Notamacropus eugenii: one gene and its partner. Each later gene encodes a partner of the first gene's protein in a complex. Links are inferred from orthologs where the notes say so. Each region holds a gene or a part of one and is shown on either strand. Other genes may lie near its edges.

Region 1 (10,817 bases):
TGGATCAAATGTCACCTTATGCTTGACATTAAAAGTTCTTTACAACCTGAGCCCTCTCCATCTCTCTGTCTTTTGTTTTTCCTTGAAAATGCTTAAAAAGAGTTAAATGGAAACCAGCAGGCAAAACTCCCATCTTTCCAACCTTCTTACCCCTTCATGTACTATATAATTCATCCATCTATGGTCTATGTACTGTCCCCTCCCCCATCTATATCTGCCATGCTTTCCCTCCTCACCTGGTCCCTGGCTTCTTTTATGACTCAGTTCAAGTATCATCTTCTGCAGGAAGCCTTTCCTGGTCCATTCAGCTAATGATAAGGAGAGAAGATAATATTTACATATACCTCTTTAAAATTTCTGCAACTCCTCGCTACTCATCAGAGCTAATTCAACTGCAACCACTCTCTTCCAAGTTACTAGTGTCTTAATGAATACATCTCATGTGTTTTTCTCAGTCTTCATCCTTCCTGATCCCTGCACTGCTGACCATCCTTTCCTCCTGGATATTCACCATCCTCAGTTGCTGAAAACTATGTGTACCATCTATTAAAAATTCTTTATCTGCACACTTGGGAAAAAACCACAACTCTGGAGAGTGAACTTTCCAACTTTCTTAAAAAATGTTCCCAATGAAGGGTCTGACTGGGTTGTGAATACATTTGTTAAAAATAGAAAAATGCAGCACGCTCCAATTAGTTTGCAACAACAACTAACTGGTATCAGGGAAGATGGAAATTTACTACTGAATTTCAATACAAATCTCTGCATAGTTGGGTAATGGTTAGAATAATGATTTAGTGGGCACAGCCAACAATATACTCCTTTCACTTGAATTTAGCTTTGTCAAGGTTTTTTTTGTTCTCTGACAGCTGTTAAAACTAAGTTTGTTTTTTTTTCAAACATAGAACCAGAATTTCAAATCACTGTATCACAAAGTATTAAAGTAAAAAAAAAAAACTTCAAAAGTAATTTAGATATTCAATCCCAATGCTTGCATCAGAATTAAGTTTTGGTGAGAGTAAAATCATTTTTTGTACCATTAATAAAATATTTTCAAAATATTCTCACCCAATACTTTTGTAAAGGCTTGTGTAAAACTAAAATGTACATAACTAAATATTATGTAATTTAAAATTGTATAAAAATACACTGCAAGTAGATAGCCTTAGTCATTTTTCACTGATAGAGTTATATAAACAGCAAGTTTGGAAATTACTGGTCCTTCATTGTGTGTTCGACCTTCATTGCCGAAGACCATGCCATCAGAGACATGACATGACTTGCACTTGACTTTGTTTTGAGAGGGAGGGCTGTGCAGGTCACCAGCCTCTCCCATGGTCCAGACCGTGCCATGCAGTTGGAAGGCCAGCCCACTGAGTCCATCCATCAGTAGATCTAGCCAGAAGCAGATCTAGCTATGGGTGGATAATGAGTTGGGAGAAGTGAAAAGCAAGATTGGGGTGAACTGCACGAGGGAAATCACACAGAGATTTTAATAATCTTAAGCTGCTTTGTAGCACAAAAGCCTGTTTTTCAACACAGACATCCTTCCAGTGAAGCTAACTAAAGGGTTGCAAATCTTGTACCATAATTTCTTAAGGATGGTGATCTTATCCCCTCTGGTAGAGAGATACATGGTGAACACAAGTAGGCTGCAGCATATATTTAATGCTGGTATATGTGCTAGAACTTGCAAAAGGAGTATTATTTAGGAAATGTATGACTGGCAGAGAGGGTGAGTCACATAGAAAGATGGAGAGACAGATGGTACCTACAAAACTCAACTCCTGACATTTATTATGTTGTCATACGGCCAGTCACTTAACTAGCTAATTCTTGACAACGTCCACCTTAGTGGTCTCTCTGTCGATAATCGATAATCATTCCTCTAACTAGCTACATACTACAGTGGGTAGAACTCAAATTTATCCTCAGATATTTGCTAGATTGTGACCTTGGTTGAGTTACTTAACCTGTCTGCTTCAGTTGACTCAACTGTAAAATGTGCCTAATAATAACATTGAGCTCCCAGGATTGTAGTGGAAGGGAATCAAATGAGATATTTATAAAGCATTTAGCAATGTCTAGTACATAGCAGGTTCTTAATAAAGGCTTATTCCCTTCCCTAAGTGAAATGAGCCTTGCAGAATATGATGGAGTACCTTGAAAATTCAAACATTAGTCAACGAGAAATTTAAAAAAAATTTTTTTATTCCTTTGCATCCATGATGGCCTTTTTAGTTGAACAAAAAAGCCTTCATTTAAAATATCCTTCATCAGCAAAGAACTATCCCATCAATGCACAGTGCAATCCATCCACACCTGATTTTGTACAATTCTTAACCATGTTATTCCAAGGATACTTTGCAGAAGAATGACTCCACATTTTAAAGGTCACTCTCTATGGGATCTCAGGTCTTTACGTTAATCTCAAGGTTCATGAAATTCTTGTTTTTCTTTTAACTGAGACAACTGTATTTCAATATAATTCTTTTCCTTTGTAATTCTATGTATTTTATTTTACACACTTGAAAGTATTATTCTAAAAAAAAAAAAATGGGTCTATGAGCTTCACCAGATTGCCAAAAGGGTCCATGATACAAAAAAAGGTGAAGAACCCCCTCCTGCTCTTAAGACTTCTAACATTTTGTAGGTATCAGTGCAACACTAGGGTAGACCTGCATCCTAGGACTGAAAGGACATCAATTTTTCCTCTACGAACAAGTCATTTTAATGTCAGTAAATAAGCTTCTCCAGTTATATAATGGGTTAAAAATCACTGACCTGACAGAGAAAATGAATCAAGAATGCCAAAGTGATTTTTTAAGTGATTTCTTGTTGTTCAGTCATGTCTGTCTCTTTGTGGTATTTTCTTGGCAAAGATACTGGAGTGGTCTGCCATTTCCTTCCCCAGTTCATTTTATGGATGAGAAAACCAAGGTAAAAGAATTAAATGACTTGCCCAGGGTCACACACCTACTAAGTGTAAAAAAATTTAGTTTTAAAAAAATTAAGTGACAGAACAAAAAACCTCATGACAAGAGAAGAACTACAACTTTAGGGAAATAATGTTATTTCTATTACTTCTGAGGAATATTAGATTTTCTTCAGTAGCTCTAGAGTCATTAATATTACTGTCTATCATGAAAATTCAGTTAATACTCAGGACATTAAGAATCGCTTTTAGTCAAACAGAACAGAGTAAGTCTGTAGTAAGAGATAGAGGATAGCTAAGTAGGTTATAGATTATACATATTATATGTAATATATAGTATTATATAAAATATATGTATACATACACATGTGTGTGCATATATGTGTTCCACCATCCTTGTCAACAACCATGCCATCAGAGAAAAAATGACATGACTTGCACTTGTCTTTGTTTTGAGTGAGGGAGGGCTGTGCAGGTCACCAGCCTCACTGCTCCTCCAGAACCATCTGAATTCAGTGACCAGATATTCATCAGGATGACTGGAGATGACCCAGGATGAGGCAATGGGGGTGAAGTGACTTGTCCAAGGTCACACAGCTAGTGAGTGTCAAGTGTGTGAGGTGAGATTTGGACTCAGGTCGTCCTGACTCCTGCACTGGTGCACTATCCACTGCACCACCTAACTGCCTGTGTGTACATATGTATGTGTGTGTATACATATTTCTGTAACTACGATAATTTGGAGAAAATTTCGGAGGAAAGGCAGTGCTCTTTAAGGAGGGCTGAGAAAAGCTTCCTGCACACACCTCAAGAAAGCCTGAAGGCTTCCACCGGCAGACATTTGAGCTCCCCTCCCCACCTCCAGCACCAAGGGCACTGCGGAATCTAAGAAAAGCAGCCCCCGGGCTGAACCTCACGGCGACTCGGGAGGCAGGGGGCTACGATCACCCCATTTTCCAGTTAGGGAGACAAACAAGCAGAAGTGAAGTGACTCGCCCAGGGTCGCAGGGCCCCTACGAGTCTGAGCTCGGATTGGAACTTGCCTCCGGGGCTGGCCACGTGCCTCGGGGGCAGGGCGCTCCACGGGCTTCTGCTCCAGGCCCAGTTCCCCCGGGGCTACAGACTCCCGTTCCCACGCCTCCAGTACAAGGCAGGGAAGCAGACAGCGCGCGGGGTTCGGCTCTCCCGCCTTCCCCACCATCGGGGAAAAGGGGGAGCTCACCTGCAGAAGGGGAGGGGCTGGCCGGCCCCGTTTTCCGGCTCTTTTCTTTCCCCCAGACCAGTCGGTAAATGCAGTAACAAGCGCCGGCCCCGAGCACCAGGCCCGCCACCCAGCCCGCCTCCCGGGCTCTGCCCATGCTGCCCCTTTGGAGCCCGGGAAATGCCCAGGCTGCGGCGATACTCCCTGGGACCTAGGGCCGAGGCTGCCAGCAGCGCGCTCGCCAGCGGGAGCACGTGGGAGCGGGTGGCCAGTGCGCCTGCGCACGGGGGCGGGCTCAGCGGAGGAGGAAGAGGGGATTTCAGTTCCGCCTCCCCACCCCCACCTCCGGCAGGCTAGAGACTGCGTTTCCTGCGCTTCCGCTGGAGGGGTCCTCGCCGCCCCAGAGTTCAGAGGCCGCTGGGGTAACCCTCGCGAGCGCCGCACGCACGCACTCGCACAAAAAGGAAGGGCTTTTATTTTGTTTTACCGGTGGAAGACGCTAGGTCTTAGACTTTGTTGTCGGAGTTGCATGTAGACATCTACCCACCTCCGGTGCATATAACCAAGCTCCAGATAATTCCGGGGCGACCCCTCCGGGAGCAGCTCTGCGTGCTTGTTCCGGTTCAGGGAGAGAGTGCCCTGCATTCGTTAAAATAGGAGGGGGGAAGAGGCACTTAGGAGGATGCCCAGAATCCATGGGTAGATTGCAAGGGGTTTATGAACTTGGTTTTGGGGAGGAAAGGAAACAATTTATTTCAATATAATTGACTTCTTTTGTAATAACTATTCATACATTAAAATATATATACGCCATATAGTATATATAATATACCATATAACACATACCATATAATATACCAACAATATACCATATAACACGTATAATATTATACATTATATACGATAAATATATCATATATATCTGAGAAGGGGTCTATAGCCTTCACTAGATCGACAAGGGAATCACACACACAAAAGCTTGACTCCAGAAGGGCCAGGCAGGTGAGCTTAGCGCAAACATTTGTAGCCTTTATTTCCAGTCCTTGTTTAAGAAACTGCCCTAGCCCTAGAAGGGAAAGGGACAATGGATTTGGAGTCAAGAGAATTGGCCTCAAATCTTGGCTTCTAGTACATGCCACCCGCCTGACCTTCCTTAAGGCCTTAACCTCCATGTCTTAGCATTGCATTGCACATGTAGTAGTGTTGAAAGGAAAATTCTTCATCTGGGTTTTCATCCTGATTAAGGAGGCAAAACTCAGGGCAAAGAGAACTGAAAAGATTTACTTTAAGTATGTCAAGGTAGCAGGGCTGATGACTGAAGATCAGACATGGCTTCAAGGTGGGGACAACTTTTATAGGCAGCTTTAAAGTAATCCAGATAGGTCCACCCCAGCACAAGAAGTGCGGCTTTGAATCGCCTTTCTCCCCAGAATAGCAAGAACGGGTTAGTTTGCAGATAAGGGTAAATGAATGACTAGGGATAGAAAAACTGCAAACTTGGTGTCTCCCTCCCCACTACGGCTTCCCCCAACACTCTTTGATAAGCAGGGCTAAGCAACTGAAGGGGCTTAAAGTTCATTGAATGGAATTAAATTGAATTTTTCAGGACTTCTGTTTAACCCTCTTTTTATTTAAAGCTCTTTTCACAGCCTGACCAGAGCCTTACTTTCCAGGGTTATTAGCCATTGCTCCCCTTTAGCCACTCACTGTAAGGTCCAACCAAGATGGCCTACTTGTACTTATGCACAGGACTCCCCAGACCTAGGATGCACTAACCTCCTGAGTCCCTGGCAGCCTTTAAAGCACGCCTCCTACTTGAGGTCTTTCCTGATAAATCCAGTTGCTCCTGCCTCCACTCATTATTCTGTATTTTTGTGTGACACCTTAAATGTGTGCATACTGGATGGAAGCTCCCTAAGAATGCTCTTCAGGGCCGCACACTGCTGAGTCAAATACATTTTTAAAAAGATACATAGTAACTAGCTTTGTTGCTTTTCATGTATTAACTCATTTGAACCTCATAACAACCCTAGGGAGGTGAGCGATATTACCATTCTCATTTAACACAAAAGGAAACAGAGGCTGAGAGAAGGCAGTTGGCCCGACTGGGGGAGGTTTTGAACTCGAGTCCTGACGCCGACGCTAGCACCTGACCTGGGGGCTTAATGCAGTGCCCGGCACCCCGGAGGCGCTTCTGTAAATGCTTGTTGCTTGAATGAGTGGCCCAGACCAGTCTCACTGCCCACCCTCATCCATGCCTGTGATGCCCTGAACTGTCCTACAAAGCTCAGCTTGGCTGCGCGGTGGGCCGGGCCAGGCCGGCTTGGGCGGGGGTCCCTTCCATCCAGCCACACGCGCATGCGCCAATCGCCGCGCGGGGGCGGGGGAGTCCCAGCTCCCAGTTGCCTGGAGCAACGCGCGGAGAAAGAGAACCCCGAGGCAGCTGCTCCAGCGCAGAGGGTGGTGCTGGGTGCGAAGGGCGGGAACCTTCGCCTACTTGTCCTCCTGTCTCGGCTAGTCCCACCCGCCTTGGGCAGGCCCCAGCCCGCCCAGCAGGCCCCAAAATGGCCTGCCCAGAACGATGCCACCCTCGACAAGAGGAACCACTTCTCCCAGGGGTCCCAGGTATCAGGGCGGTGTCGGGAGCGCCGTGAGCCGGCCCACCCGGGCCGGGCTGGGGGGCGGGGCCGGGCTCCCCTGCCCGGGGCCTCGCACGCCTGTCTGGCGCCGACCCACCACGTGCTCTTTCCTCCTCCCAGTCAATGCCCTCTGCGCCCTGACCCCGTTCTGCCCCGTAAGCCCACAGTTCTGTCGCCACCACCACCTAGTTTTTCTTGAACCCCGGCCTCTCCGGCTCTCGCGCGCTGTGCCATCCGTCTGCGCCTGGGCAAATCACAACCTTTTTGCCCCTGAGTTCCACCTTTGTAAAAGGACAACTAAAATTCCTTTTCAACCCTAAGACGGAGCTCTCTCCTTTTGCGGATCAGCCTGTTATTGATCTGATCTCAGCCCCTGCTCTGAACCACCCACTTAGCCTGTGACATCAGGGGGCCTAATGTAGTGGAAGGAGACTTAGGCAGCGTGGTACGGTGGGGAAAAAGTCAGAGAGAGTCCTGGATTTCTGGTCTACCTTTGTACATCTGTTAGGGCCGTGGTTAAGTGGTATCACTTCTCTGGGTTCCTTTCCTCATTTGTTAAACAGGAACAAATGTTTACAGTTGAAAGCTCATCAGGTTTGGTATAAAATTAAAGTTATGTTTCATATTGGAACACATTTTCAAAGGATTTTGACAATGTGGATTTTAATTGTTTCAGTCAGCAGTCTTCCCATAAAAATGTGGCCTAGTATTAAAAAAAAATGTTTGTGAAAGCGTAGCTATTGACTTCTTATGTTTTCATTTTGGATCTCTTCAGTGTGTTCATAGCACCCTATACAGACAAGAAGGAAGACATAGCAACTGGGAACGTCTTTTCGTTTATCTTTTTTCCCCTTATAAAGGCACCATTAATGATCTTTTCCATTCTTTTGAAATCTTTCCCTGTCTCAGCTTAAAATTCTACTTCATAGTGCTTTAACAATTGTGTTGTCCGCCATTCAGACTTCTCTCTGTGCTTAGTTAGGTTCAGCCACCAGTTTTGACTTCCCCCTCTTAAATACCATTACTTGGTATTTTCAACATTGGGATGCTGTAATCTAAATGTTTTTAATGCAGAGAGATCACTGTGAAAATGCCTGTAGATCCATTTTATCTTCTCTGTTTATCATCTTTTGTCCAGTTTTATCTTCAAATGTAATTTGGCTTAGCTGGATCTCATCTAGAGGGGATGATGGTGATGATGATAACGTTATATTTTGACTTGGCACTTTACACCCATTATCTGTTTGGATTCTCAAATCCTCTGACGAATGCAGCACAAGGGGGCAGCTAAGTGGTACAGTGGATAAAACACAGGACCTGCAGTAAGGCACACTGAAAGCCAGTCGTAGACACCAGCTGTGTGACCCTGGGTGAGTCACTTAAGTCACTGAGTTTGCCTCGGTTTCCTCATCTGTAAAATGGGAATAATAAAAAGATCATCTAACTCCCACGGTGATTATGAGGATCGAATGAATTAATAATTGTCAAGTGCTTAGCACAGTGCCTGGCATGTAGTAGATACTATATACATGTTAGCTCTTATTATATGGATAGTCAAGCAAAACTAATTCCTACATTGGCCATGTCCAAAAATGTATGTCTCATTCTGCGTCTTGAGTCTATCTCTGTCAAAAGATGAGTAGCATGCCTCATTATCAGCCCTCTTGAATATTGCATTGATTAGTTATTAAGTCTTTCAGAGTTGTTTGTCTTTACAGTATTGTTATTATATAAATTGCTTTGGTTCTCCTCACTTCATTCTGCATTAGTTCATACAAGTCTTCTTAGGTTTTTCTAAATTCATCCCCTTCATCTGTTCTTATAGTACAAGAGAATTTCCATTGCATCCTGGCCCATCTCCTGTCATCCTGAGAAATAATGTCAGGTCACTGGATTCAGATGGCTCTGGAGAAGCGAGGCCGGTGACCTGCACAGCCCTCCCGCACTCAAAGCAAAGTCAAGTGCAAGTCATGTCATCATTTCTCTGATGGCATGGTCTTCTTTGGCAACAAAGGACGAACACAAGAGAATTTCATTACTTTCATATACCATCATTTGTTCAACCATTACCTACTTTATGGGTACACTCTGAGTTTCCAGTTCTTTTTCTTTATGGAAAGTGCTGCTGTAAATATCTTTATATATAATATATATTAAATATATAAATATCAAACATAATAACTTTAATTTTCTTCTTTCTTTGACCTCTTTGATACCATAGGACTAGTATCAGTGGATAACAGAGTATACACTTTAGTAACCTTGGGGGCATTATTCCAAATTACATTGTAGAATGGCTGGATCAATTTACAACTCCACCAGCAGTGCGTTAACATGTCTGTTTTCCCATAACCCTTCTAACATTTGCCATTTTCCACTGTTACTGCCTTTGCCATCAAATGTGAGGGGTTTGTGATGGAACCTCAAAGTTATTTTCATTTCACATTTAGCACTTTGCCTGTATGTCTTGCCACTTACCCCTTTTGAGAAGCATGGCACACTGGAGAAAACATTAAGATTTGGCATCAAAAGACTTGGATTTGAGTTTTGGCTCAGACGCTTTCTAGTTGTGTGATCAGGGTAACTTAACCTATCTAAACCTGTTTCATTATCTATAAAATCTGGGTTTGTGAAATGCTAAGTTAAATGAGTTGTCATTTATGCCTAACTTTAGGCAAAATTGTAAAGTAAGGGAATTTTGTCTTGGCTCTTAGCTCCTCTTTCTTTGTCCATCTTCTTTCACATTCTTCCCCCCTCCCCTCCCCCTGAGGCCTCCTTTGTCTGTAATATATTCTTGTGTGAATTAGTTCAGTGTGTTAACCCTTCAGAGTAGCATCTGAATTTTTAAAAAGGCTCTAGGAGAGAAAGCCAAAGAAATGAATGTGTTATCTGGGTTTTTTGGTACCCTTGAGAGGGAGATACTTTCAGTTAAGGTTCTTTCTGGTGTGTCATTAAATTACATAATACAGGCATATATACCCTGCCTACTTGTAAATTTGATTAATAATAATAAGAGAGATATTTCCATTGCAGTTTAAAAAAAAGCAAAAGCACTATACTTACTGCCATAGTAATGGAAATAAAAGTGCATTCTCATTCAGAAAGAAGTGTGTTTTAGTTCCACTTCAGACTTTTCATAGTTATGTGACCCTGAGAAAGTCAGTTGGCACAATGCTCTGTACCTGGAGTCAGGAGTACCTGACTTCTCCCATGGCCTTAAATAATTCCTAGCTTTGTGACCCTGGGCAAATCACTTAACTTCTGTGTGCCTTAGTTTTTTCATTTGTGAAAAAGAGAAAATAATAGCACCTATCTTCCAGGGTTGTTGTGAGGATGAAATGAGATACTATTTGTAAAGCACTATACAAACCTGTAAGTGCAATATCTTAACTATTATGATTTTATTATTTAACCTCCATAGGCCTCAGTTTCCCCATCTGCAGAGTTGAATGTGATGTCTTGTAAGATACTTTTCAGCTCTAAGTTTATGATCCTATAATATCAAAGCTAGAGTGGAGTTTAATGTCTGTGAAAAAATAAAGTACTTCTCAAAAAATTGTCCAGCAGAGGGAGTATCTGAATTGTTGGTTGCCTGTTTTGAAAGGAATGATTTTTATTGAATCAGGTACTTATACTTTATAGTTCCTTTGTACTTAGCATTTCTAAAACACCAACTGTATTTACATATTTGGAAAACAGGCAGATTTTCAAAATGGAACAGCAACAAAAGGATGATTTGGAGAGAGAAAGGTTAGGTGGCTGGTTCAACTGAGCCCCTATGAGTAGTGGTCAGCAACCTTAGGCATCACTTCAAGTCCAGGGTCTGGCTCTTAGCTATTTCTGGCTCATGAATTTGATCTTATGATCCCCGTACTTTGAGGTAATGAAGCTCTGGGTAACTGATTCAAACTAACCAAACTTAAAAGTGATTGACGAATAAACTAAAATACCAGTTTATTCACATACAAGGAGAGACACACCTAGATAGAGAACTGGTATCAAAGTTGCTATTCAGATCACTTACTCCTAATGAGTCCACTTG
Region 2 (11,023 bases), on another chromosome or scaffold:
GGAGAAGGAATGGCAAACCACTCCAGTATCTTTGCCAAGAAAACCTCAAATGGGGTGACAAAGAGTCAGACACAACTGAACATCAAAATGTGTGTCTGGGACAGACAGTTCATGTGGACACCGAGTTAGGTCCAGTATAAATGGACAATAAGATGTGAGAAGAGTAGATTTGATTACCTTCATGAAATTGCAAATCTCCTATAATGACCCCAAATGTCTCCTGGAAACAATAGCCCATCTTTTTAATACTAACTTGTTATTTGTATTGCTTTATGGTAGAAAGAAATAGGATCCAAAAGATTCTAAATAATAAAAAATTTCTATCACATAGGGCAATGTGGAGGTGAATGGTGAATGTGAGCAGATTGCAATACAACCAGTAAGGGTTTTTGAATAACAAGAGTAAAATATATTATCAAGGAAATGTGTGATAGGAAGAAAAGATGGGCTAGTTACTTAACAAGTTTGAAGGATAAGATAATCGGAGTAAACCACTGGTATCCATCTTCAAGATGCCAAGAAAAACAAGAAAGGCCTCCAGTACACTGGATGGATCCCTGTAGCAAATTTCTGGGACAATATGAATAAAAGTCATACAACTTGAGAAAGCATCCTTGGATTGTTTTCTGCATCATTGGAGGGAATACCCAAATTGATGATGTCAGAGATCCACTTGGCAGTATTTGAGAGATATTGTCAAAGGTATAATGGCAATGCTTTGTAGAATATGTGAGACAAAAAAAATATAAAGGACAGGAAGACTAATTAGTAAAGTGTTGAAAAAGTCCAAATGAGAGGTAGCAAGGCTCTGAACTAAGGTAATGGTAGTGAAAATAGAAAGGAAGGAATAGATGCAACAAATACTAACCAGGTGAAATCTATGGAATTTGGTGATTGATTCATATGAGGAACAAAGGAGTCAAAATTTTGATCCTGGTATGACTGGAAAAATGGTGAACCATTAACAAAAGTTGGAAAATTGAGGGAAAAGGTTGGCCTTTATGGAAGAAAATGAGTTCCATTTTTACATGTTAAGTTTGAGAAGACAGAAGAACAATAAGGAGACATCCAGTATATGAATTGGAAATGCATGACTAGAGTTTAGGAGAAAGGTCAAAACTAGATATTGAACTTCGGGGATCCTCTACATAGAGAGATAATTGAAGGCTGACATGTGGATGAAGTTGACAAGCAAAAGAATGTAAAAGACAAGGGGGTCAGTGACAAAACCCAAACCTCAAACTAAACCTCAGCATTTCCAGATTCTCAAGTTGATCAAGATTTTAGACGTGGAAAGTCCTTATAAATTGTTTAGTTTAATCACTTCATTTACAAATGAGGAATCTGAGACTCCAAAGGTTGTGACCATACTAAGGATGTATAGCTATTTAGTGGCAGAGCTATAACTAGGATCCAGAGGACCTCAGTCTCATTCCATTGCTCTTTCAAGTATACCCATCATTCTGAACAGTACTTCTCATTATATGGGTTATCTAATTTTTCCCTAAGCCTCATTTTCCATTTCCCTGGTAGAAGGAGATGTTCTCTCTCCTCTAGGTTCCCTCACCAATATGCCTCAATTATAAAACTTACTACACTAAAAACTCATTGAAGATAAGTAATATTTCTCAGTGGATTCATAACAAATGTTTGATCAGCCAAAATACATACAGCAGTACTTTTGGTAGGAGCAAAAAACTGGAAACAAAGTATATGTTCGTCAAATGGGGAATGGTTAAGCAAATTGTGGTGCATGTAATGGAAAATTACTACATCATAAGAAATGCTGAATAAGGACACATGGAAAGCCATGAACTGATACAAAGTGAAGTAAACAGAACAGGGAAAACAAAATACAAAATGAAGGCAGCCTACGCATAAGGGAGGGAGTTGGTCTCTGACCAAACTAATTATAATCACCCAAAAAAGTCATCAAAGACAGGAAGCTAAAGCACAAATAATTAGGTGTTAATGTGTTAACAAAATGCTAACACTGCTACCCCTTTTCAAAATGTGTGAAATTTTCCCTGATGTACATAGAGAGGAAGTTTACCATTAGCTAACACATTAACCATGCCCTTGATCACCTTTAAAATGCTAGCTTACTAAGTCCTGCCTTCCCTGGAGATAGGAAGCAGTTCAATGAATGGGACTTTACCAGCAAAAGAAATAAGACTAAGAATTCAAGAGAGAACCAGTTCTGGAAATGGACATGAGCTAGGGAGGGGAATAGACCCTGAGAGTCCAGTTGAGCAACAGGAAGAAATGCTGTGCACAAGGGGAAGCAGTGTGAAAACCACATGGAGAACAAATATTGAGAGCATGAAGTTGCCTTGACTACACTACTATTGTACTTTGTGCCTATTCTTTTCGTGTATGCTATATGTATTTGTAGGTATATGTGCCCTAGTTTAATAATGGAAATGTTTTAGGGACAGATAGGTGGCGTAGTGGCTAAAGCACTGGTTTGGGGCAAGTCTCTTAACTCTGACTGCCTTGTAAAAAAAAAAATAGGGTCAATGTTTTGTAGCTACTGTTTTTACTGCTTTATCTTAGTAAAAGCACCTTCTTTGAGCTACTTGTATCTACTGACTAAGTTAAGGGAAAAGCTCATTGGTGAGAGTTCTTAAACTATAATTTCAACAGTGTAAACCCAGAGTATCCTGCAAACTGATGGTAATGGTGGCCTTCTGGGAAGGTAACTCAGAGTGGGTGTTACAAATATAAATGGAAAGAACAACAACAAAAAAAAAAAAGATTTAAATTGAACAGTGTGTAATTATAATGACCAAGCTTGGCCCCAAAGAAAAAAATGAGAAAATTTATTTTCCTTCAATATTAGCAAAGTCAAGGGGATTATATCCGTACAATATATACAGCATATAATGTTGGATTTAGTTGATGTGGTAGTTGGTTTTGCTGAAGTCTGTTTTTTGTTCTTTTTAATTTTTATTAAAAGGGTTGCTTCGAAAACTCAAAAGTCAAGCCACTGGCTGGGAAAATGTCCAGAAAAGGGGAAAAAAATAAGACTATAGAAGGTTACTTTCTTGGTGAACAGATAATTCCTCCCTTCCTTTCTGATGAGGAAGAACAATGCTTACCATCAGGGAAAGACACAGAAGTCAAGGCTTCTGTATCCCACACATCCAAAATAAATATACCATGGGCTCAGGCCATGGAAGAGCTCAAAAAGGATTTTGAAAATTAAGTAAGAGAGGTGGAGGAAAAACTGGGAAGAGAAATGAGAGAGATGAAAGAAAAGCATGAAAAGCAGGTCAACACCTTGCTAAAGGAGACCCCCAAAAATGCTGAAGAAAATAACACCTTTAAAAATAGGCTAACTCAATTGGCAAAAGAGGTTCAAAAAGCCAATGAGGAGAAGAATGCTTTAAAAAGCAGAATTAACCAAATGGAAAAGGAGGTTCAAAAGCTCACTGAAGAAAATAGTTCTTTCAAAATTAGAATGGAACAGATGGAGGCTAATGATTTTATGAGAAACCAAGAAATCACAAAACAAAACCAAAACAATGAAAAAATGGAAGATAATGTGAAATATCTCATTGGAAAAACAACTGACCTGGAAAATAGATCCAGGAGAGACAATTTAAAAATTATGGAACTACCCGAAAGCCATGATCAAAAAAAGAGCCTAGACATCATCTTTCATGAAATTATCAAGGAAAACTGCCCTGATATTCTAGAACCAGAGGGCAAAATAAGTATTCAAGGAATCCACCAATCACCTCCTGGAAGAGATCCAAAAAGAGAAACGCCTAGGAACATTGTAGCCAAATTCCAGAGTTCCCTGGTCAAGGAGAAAATATTGCAAGCAGCTAGAAAGAAACAATTCAAGTATTGTGGAAATACAATCAGGATAACATAAGATCTAGCAGATTCCATATTAAGGGATTGAAGGGCATAGAATAGGATATTCCAGAAGTCAAAGGAACTAGAACTAAAACCAAGAATCACCTACCCAGCAAAACTTCAGGGGGAAAAATGGTCTTTCAATGAAATTGGGGACTTTCAAGCATTCTTGATGAAAAGACCAGAGCTGAAAAGAAAATTTGACTTTCAAACACAAGAATGAAGAGAAGCATGAAAAGGTAAACAGCAAAGAGAAGTCATAAGGGACTTACTAAAGTTGAACTGTTTACATTCCTACATGGAAAGACGATATTTGTAACTCTTGAAACTTTTCAGTATCTGGGTACTGGGTGGGATTACACACACACACACACACAGAGCACAGAGTGAATTGAATAGGATGGGATCATGTCTTAAAAAAATGAAATTAAGCAGTGAGAGAGAAATATATTGGGAGGAGAAATGGAATGGGGCAAATTATCTCTCATAAAAGAGGCAAGCAAAAGACTTTTTAGTGGAGGGAAAAAGAAGGGAGGTGAAAGAAAAACATGAAGTTTACTCTCATCACATTCCACTAAAGGAAGGAATAAAATGCACACTCATTTTGGTATGAAAACCTATCTCACAATACAGGAAAGTGGGGGAGAAGGGGATAAGCAGGGTGGGTGATGGAAGGGAGGGCAATGGGAGGAGGGAGCAATTAGAAGTCAACACTCTTGGGGAGGGACAGGATCAAAAGAGAGAATAGAAGCAATGGGGGGCAGGATAGGATGGAGGGAAATATAGTTAGTCTTACACAACACAACTGTTATGGAAGTCATTTGCAAAACTACACAGATATGGCCTATATTGAATTGCTTGCCTTCCAAAGGGAATGGGTGGGGAGGGAGGGATGAAGAGAAGTTGGAACTCAAAGTTTTAGGAACAACTGTCGAGTACTGTTCTTGCTACTAGGAAATAAGAAATACAGGTAAGGGGGTATAGAAAGTTATCTGGCCCTACAGGACAAAAGAAAAGAGGGGGACAAGGGAAGGGAGGGATGATAGAAGAGAGGACAGATTGGTGATAGGGGTTATTAGAATGCTTGGTGTTTTGGGGTGGAGGGAGGGGACAAATGGGGAGAAAATTTGGAACCCAAAATTTTGTGAAAATGAATGTTAAAAGTTAAATAAATTAATTTTAAAAAAAAGAAAAAAAATAAAGTGATTGTTAACTCCTCAAAAAAAAAAAAGGGTTGCTTCTCTGAGTATGAGAGAGATGTGTTGAGAGAAGAAGGTGCTATAATAAAAGTATATCAGTGAAAAGTAAAACAAAATCAAAAATAAATGATAAAAGAATGAAAAAATGCAATAAAAATATGTCATTTTAGAGGTAGAAGATTATTCCAAAAGAAGAGATGAAAAAATTCAACCTCCTTTTTTGCAGAGGTGGGGAATTGTGGTTGTAAGTATGTTGCATATTATACTATCATATTTAGATGTTTTGGTTACTTTTGTGGAACTTTTTTCCTTTCTTTTTTATTCTTTGTTACATGACTCAATGGGTAGGGTAAGAATGTATTCAGAAAAAGGAAGGTAACATAAAAGTAAGTGATAGCAAAATTAAAAAGGAATATTCTAGCTCAAACCTTTCATCTTATGGGAATTATGCCAAATAATTATCATTACTGTTGCCATCATCAGCATAATAAAGCTATTTTTAAAATTTTAACATTTATGATGTTCCGAATCTATGGTCTCCAAAAAAATCTGGACCAATCTTCCCCAAGTCATTCTTCACCAGTTCCCCCTGGGATGTGGAATAGGGGAAGGAGATACATGGAGAACAGGAAGTTAATCTAAATCAGTAGTTAATTCTGTCTTCCTACAAACAACTCCCAAGTTTCTTGGTTGCTAAGACAGAAGGCAGCCCAGACACTCAACCTTCCTTCCACTATCTCCACCCCCTACATTGCTGATCTGTACTGGTTGCCCTAATCCAGCCCCTTCCTTGGTCTTCCAGCTCATTGGGCCATCCTACTGCCTTTCAACATGAGTTCTCTGGGGAGACACACCACAGAAGAAATAGGAGGCACATCTGAGGAGGTACCTACAGGTAAGGGGAGGCAGAGAAAGAGGGGGCAAAGGCAGGCACAAAGCTAACCTTATACAAAGAATTACTTTCTCCAAAAGAGGACCCAAAGGTATTCCTTTTTTACATAGTGGATGAAAGCTACACAGACTGATCACCCATTATTATTCTACCAGATAGTCACCTTAAAATGAGAGTAGAGAGGGCATCTCCTTAGGACCCAGAACTTGAACACAATGTGCCCATTTCCTCCTCTAGGACACCAAGATGCCACCAAAAATCAAAGGAAAAGGATCAAAAGCTGGGGGACAGAAAAAGAAAAAGAAGAATCAAGGTGAGTGAGGTGGGTAGAGGCTGGTGGGAACAATGCGGGTGTCTTTGAAGGCTTTGTCCACCTAGCATCCCTTAGAGTCCTGACCCCCTTCCCCATGGTGGAATCCAGTCCGAGCCTATTTCTTCCTCCTGGCCTTGGTTCCTTCATTTATAACAATGGTACCCAGGGATGGGGAAAGATGAACTTGTGTCATTTCCTCTAATTGAAGATCCATTCTCCATCTCTTCCTGCTCCCAGGGACCAAGATTCTACATGAAAACAAAATGCAGGCTCTCCTGGAATCACCAGGGATCCAGAATCTCCTCTGGGTCAGCCTAGCCTATTTTGAACTACTCAACTTTTGCAATTGTTGCTCTTTCACACTCCTGTACCACCAGCTCCAGAGGGACCTGCAAGTGCCCACAACCTTTAGATTTAACCCCAAAAAGGTTTCTAAACATGGGAGTTGAGGGTGGAGGAGAATGACAAAGGAGAAGCTATAATAGATTAGGCCTTTATATGGTTTCCATGAAACTGTCCCTCACTTCCTGTTTTGTAATATAGAAGGAGTCATGGACTAGGAGTCTGAAGATGTGAGTTTTGTTTGAACTGCTGTGTAACCTTAGGCAAATTCACTTCACCTCAGTTCCTTCATCATAAAATTTGGGAGTTGGAAAATAATAAAGTTCCTTCTAGCTCTAAATCTATAATCCTATGATTCCTTCTTGCCAAGGACAGATGTCGATGTTGAGATCAAGCACAGGAGAACAGCCTTGGAGGTGGAGATCCTCCGTGACCATCTGGGTAAGGGAATAATAGAGGAAGTTCCCCTACTCCTTGGAGAGTGGAGGTGATACCTATTCCATAGTTGCTCCTAAGTAGTTCCTAGCTAAATAGATCATTATGGGAAATTATGTGAAAAGTCTAGGTAATGAAGGTTAGAATTATAGTTAATTATAATCCTTACAGAGATGAGGATGCCATTTTCCATTGGCCAGAGCAGAGAAGAAATTTGTTCCAAAAGAGTGACTGGTAGACTTCAGGGCTGGGGGAAACAGGGAAAACTCTAAAACATTGGGCAAATAAGAACTTGGAGACTCCAGGAGTAGGGAAGAGAGGAGTATAGCAGTGTGTGCGTGTGTGTGAGTGTGTGTCTGTGTGTGTGTGCACACGTGCATGTGGGTGGGAGGTATCCTGGGAGAATGAGATATTCTTTATGGGCTGAGGACTTCATCCTTCATTTGGTGCCACCCCTAGCTCTTCGACGGGATGAGACTCGCCAGGCCATAGCTTGCAGAGAACTGCTCCGAGTGAGGCTGCAGGAGTTGGAGGCTGAGGTGGAGGAGGCTCGAGGTGATGGAGAGGCTGTGTATGCAGGTGACAGGAGGGGCCTCAGACTATAGGACAATTTATCACCAATTCTGTCTTTGAGCTTTTTCCACTCAGCATAAATTGGATGAGGCTCTTGTGGGATCTTAGAAAGGGATGTCTCAAGGTTCATAACCCCTCCATCCCACAGTGATTGTAGATCTGGAATGGGACAGAAGATCTGGTTGTCTTTCTGTTCTCTATTTGTTATAAATTTCCATCTTTTGGGTGACTTTACAAGCAGAATTTTCTATATCATAAACAAGCCATGGGAAGGTGTTTCCCAAGGCAACTTCCTATAATATCATCCCCCATATGGAGTACCATGTTCATTTCTGGGTACCACATATTAAGAAGGATGTAAGTTGGAAAGTATCTCCAGAGGAGCACAGCCAGGATGGAGAAGAACCTCAAGATCAGATCAGATGAAGGAACTGGGAATTTTTAGCCTGAAGACAACTTCTAGGGGAAATGTAGCTGTCTTCTAATATTTGAAGAACCATCTCATGAAAGGGATTAAATTGGTTCTTCTTGGCTACAGAAGACAGAACTAAAAACAATGGGTAGAAGCTTGAGAGTAGCAAATTTAACTGTGATAAGGAAAAAACTTCCTAAAATTTAGATCTATTGAAAAGTAAAATGGACTGCCTTGGAAAGTAATATGTTCTCTCTCACAAGAAATCTTCAAGCAAAAACCAGGTGACAAATTGGTATGTTGCAGGGAAGTTTCTTGTTCTGGTATAGATTAGACTAGATGGCCAATGATATCTCTTCCAATTCTAATTCTATGATCTTCCTTATTGGGAGTACCTCCTACTACTATCCCATACCCCAAGAGATGAGTCGTCAGTACCATGCCCTGAGGGAAGAGACTGAGACACAGAGACATCAGCTGGAAGAGAAAGTAAAGGTCCTTCAGAAAGAGTTAGGTAGGTATGAATTTCTGTGTCCTAGATGGGTACCTGATCAGTCTGTGTTCTGAGAATGGGATATAGCAGGGCTAGAGCTAGACAAATGAGCTGAGTTTGACAAGAATGAAGGGATGAGGCAGCATTCTTTTAGGTGAGGCATCTAAGGGTATTCTGTATCTTGGAAAGTGCAAAGGGGACAGATTCTCCCACAGGCCACTGAGCAGACTCTATTCAGCTGCCTTCATATTCCTCATTAATCCTGTCTCTGGCTCCCCAGAGACATGCCAAAGAGAGGCAAAAACTGCTAAGAGAGAGGCTGAACAGGCATTAGCAGAACGAGACAAGACCCTTGCCCAGCTTCAGGCCTATGTGACAGACATGGAGGCTAAGTATGAAGAAATTCTACATGTAAGTAATAACCAGCATTACTCTTGGACCTTTCCCTCCTGTACTTTGGCATCCTCTCCCCAGGCTCACAAAACAGTTCCTAATTAGCTCTTCAGATCTCACTGGGAAAGACAAAATTTGACTTGAAGATAGGCTGCAAGGAAGAGACATTTGCACAGGAGTCCAGGGTCCTCCATCCATCTCAGTAGTATGTGGCAGGTGGCATGGCTAATTTAGGTCCCTGGCACTAGGGGCTTTTAAGAAAACAGCAGGAGGTGCAATTCCAAAGCCATTGTGGGGCATAACTGACTTATTCTCTTCTGTGAGGTTGAGACCAAGTAAAAGATGGTCCTACTTTACAGTGCAGCCTGGATCGACTCTTGGCCAAACTGGCCACAGCTAAATTGGAGTGGGATGCAGCTGCTCTGAGGCTCCATGAGAAACACAAAGAACAACTTCAGCAATTTGGGCTCAACCCCCTATACTTCTGAAGCTGGGGACCCTTGGACTTCAGGGCCTTCTGGGCTCCCAACAATAAAGGTTTTGTTCCTCTAGCTCTAAGCAACAGGGGGCCTTTCTCCTCCTGAGCCCTTGAGTCCCTTCTCTAGATGAAGCCAGCATGGGAGGAAGCTCTATCAGTGGGAGAAAGCATATTAGGTTGGAGGCAGAAACATCTACGTAATAACACTTTATCTATTGAGTTGTGGGGAAAGAAATGTTGGCAAACCCAACCCATCCATAGAAATAATATCCCCACTCCCCTCCCCCTCCCCCCCATCCCCAAGATTCATGGAATCTTGATCTTTGTGTCAAAGGTAGCTAAGTGATGCAGTAGAATGAGCACTGGGCTCAGAGTCAGGAAGACCTGACTTCAAATCCAGCCTCAGACATTTACTAGCTGTGTGACCTTGGGCAAGTTACTTAACCTCTTTTTGCCTCAGTTTCCTCAATTATAATATGGAGATAACAGCACCTACCCCCAAAGGTTGCTGTAAGGGTCAAATGAAATCCATATAAAATGCTTACATAGTGCCTCGTATACAATAAGCACTATATAGATGCTTATTCCCTTCTTTACCCTTCCCCATATTCTTTCCTCCACTCCAGCACAAACACAGGCAGCGAGACTTGTGGGAAAGGATAATTTCAACAGGCTCTAAGTCTACATCAAATACATACTTGTTGCCCTGGAATCCCACTGTCCCTTGCTTTCTCCATAGGTCCTGAGGGAAGGAAGGAAACTAACATTTTACAAATATTTCATTTGATCCTCACAACAACTCTGGAAGATAGGTATTATTACCCCCATTTTACAATGGAGGAAACTGAGGCAAACAGAGGCTAAGTGACTTGCCCAGGGACATATAGATAGAGTCTGAGGCCAGATTTAAACTCAGGCCTTCCTGGCCCCAGGTCCAAAGCTCTATGAATTGACATCATGAAAAGGAGATATCACAGAGAGAATTATGAATCAATCTCCAATTTTAATTGAATGTTCAAAATCATCATACATCAGGGAAGAGCACTGGCCCCACCTCTCAGATACAGCACAGGAGATCCTAGTTTTGCAGGTCCTACTCTCCCACAAACAAACTTTATCTTAGTGGGTCCCCTGGCCCTCCCACCAAACTCTTGCACATTTCTTCTGACTGGGAATATGGATGGGAAGCTGTTGACAGAGCAAACCCAGTACATTGGATACAGCTACTTCCCCTACTCTTTCCCAGGGAGTGAAGCCCTGGGAAAGGAAAGAGACTTATCCCAGGAGGCCTATGTAGTCCTATGAGGACATCCTATCTCTCCAGCCCTTGGGCCCAGGAATTTCCATCCACTCCTGAAATAAGGAGGTGTAGTAGACAAAGCAACATTAGAAAGATCCATGCCAGATAGGATACTCTATAGCCTCTCAGAAGGAAGAACCCAGTCCTAGGTTTGGAAATAAGAGAAGATAATGATTGAGAACCTAGAATCCAATGGCATTTTGCTTTCCCCCACACCTCGCAGGGCAGGAATCCCCATGAATGGGGTATAATCTCTATTCTGCAATTCAGTTCCCCAATCTTGGTGCCCTCTATTCTGTTCATCTGTTTTAACACTAGGAGCTCTG

The links. Proteins that work in one complex are often made in the same cells at the same time.
Region 2: FBXL13 (region 1) and DRC12 share a complex: the UniProt entries of both Homo sapiens proteins name them as parts of the nexin-dynein regulatory complex. The link is inferred for Notamacropus eugenii from reciprocal best matches to the Homo sapiens genes FBXL13 and DRC12.

What each region holds. Positions count from the first base shown.
Region 1 is NC_092874.1:152,909,117-152,919,933, forward strand, and holds the start of FBXL13 (F-box and leucine-rich repeat protein 13), read left to right. Parts: upstream 1-6,309; 5' UTR 6,310-6,494; coding exon 6,495-6,761; intron 6,762-10,817. Other genes in the region: ARMC10 (armadillo repeat-containing protein 10), read right to left, coding at 237-308, 4,158-4,293. UniProt on the Homo sapiens protein: Substrate-recognition component of the SCF (SKP1-CUL1-F-box protein)-type E3 ubiquitin ligase complex.
Region 2 is NC_092876.1:279,604,103-279,615,125, forward strand, and holds the start of DRC12 (dynein regulatory complex protein 12), read left to right. Parts: upstream 1-5,846; 5' UTR 5,847-5,897; coding exon 5,898-5,961; exon of another isoform or gene 5,962-6,049; intron 6,050-6,195; coding exon 6,196-6,271; intron 6,272-6,983; coding exon 6,984-7,054; intron 7,055-7,507; coding exon 7,508-7,627; intron 7,628-8,454; coding exon 8,455-8,547; intron 8,548-8,806; coding exon 8,807-8,937; intron 8,938-9,278; coding exon 9,279-9,407; 3' UTR 9,408-9,456; intron 9,457-10,380; exon of another isoform or gene 10,381-10,812; coding exon of another isoform or gene 10,813-10,842; intron 10,843-11,023. UniProt on the Homo sapiens protein: Component of the nexin-dynein regulatory complex (N-DRC), a key regulator of ciliary/flagellar motility which maintains the alignment and integrity of the distal axoneme and regulates microtubule sliding in motile axonemes.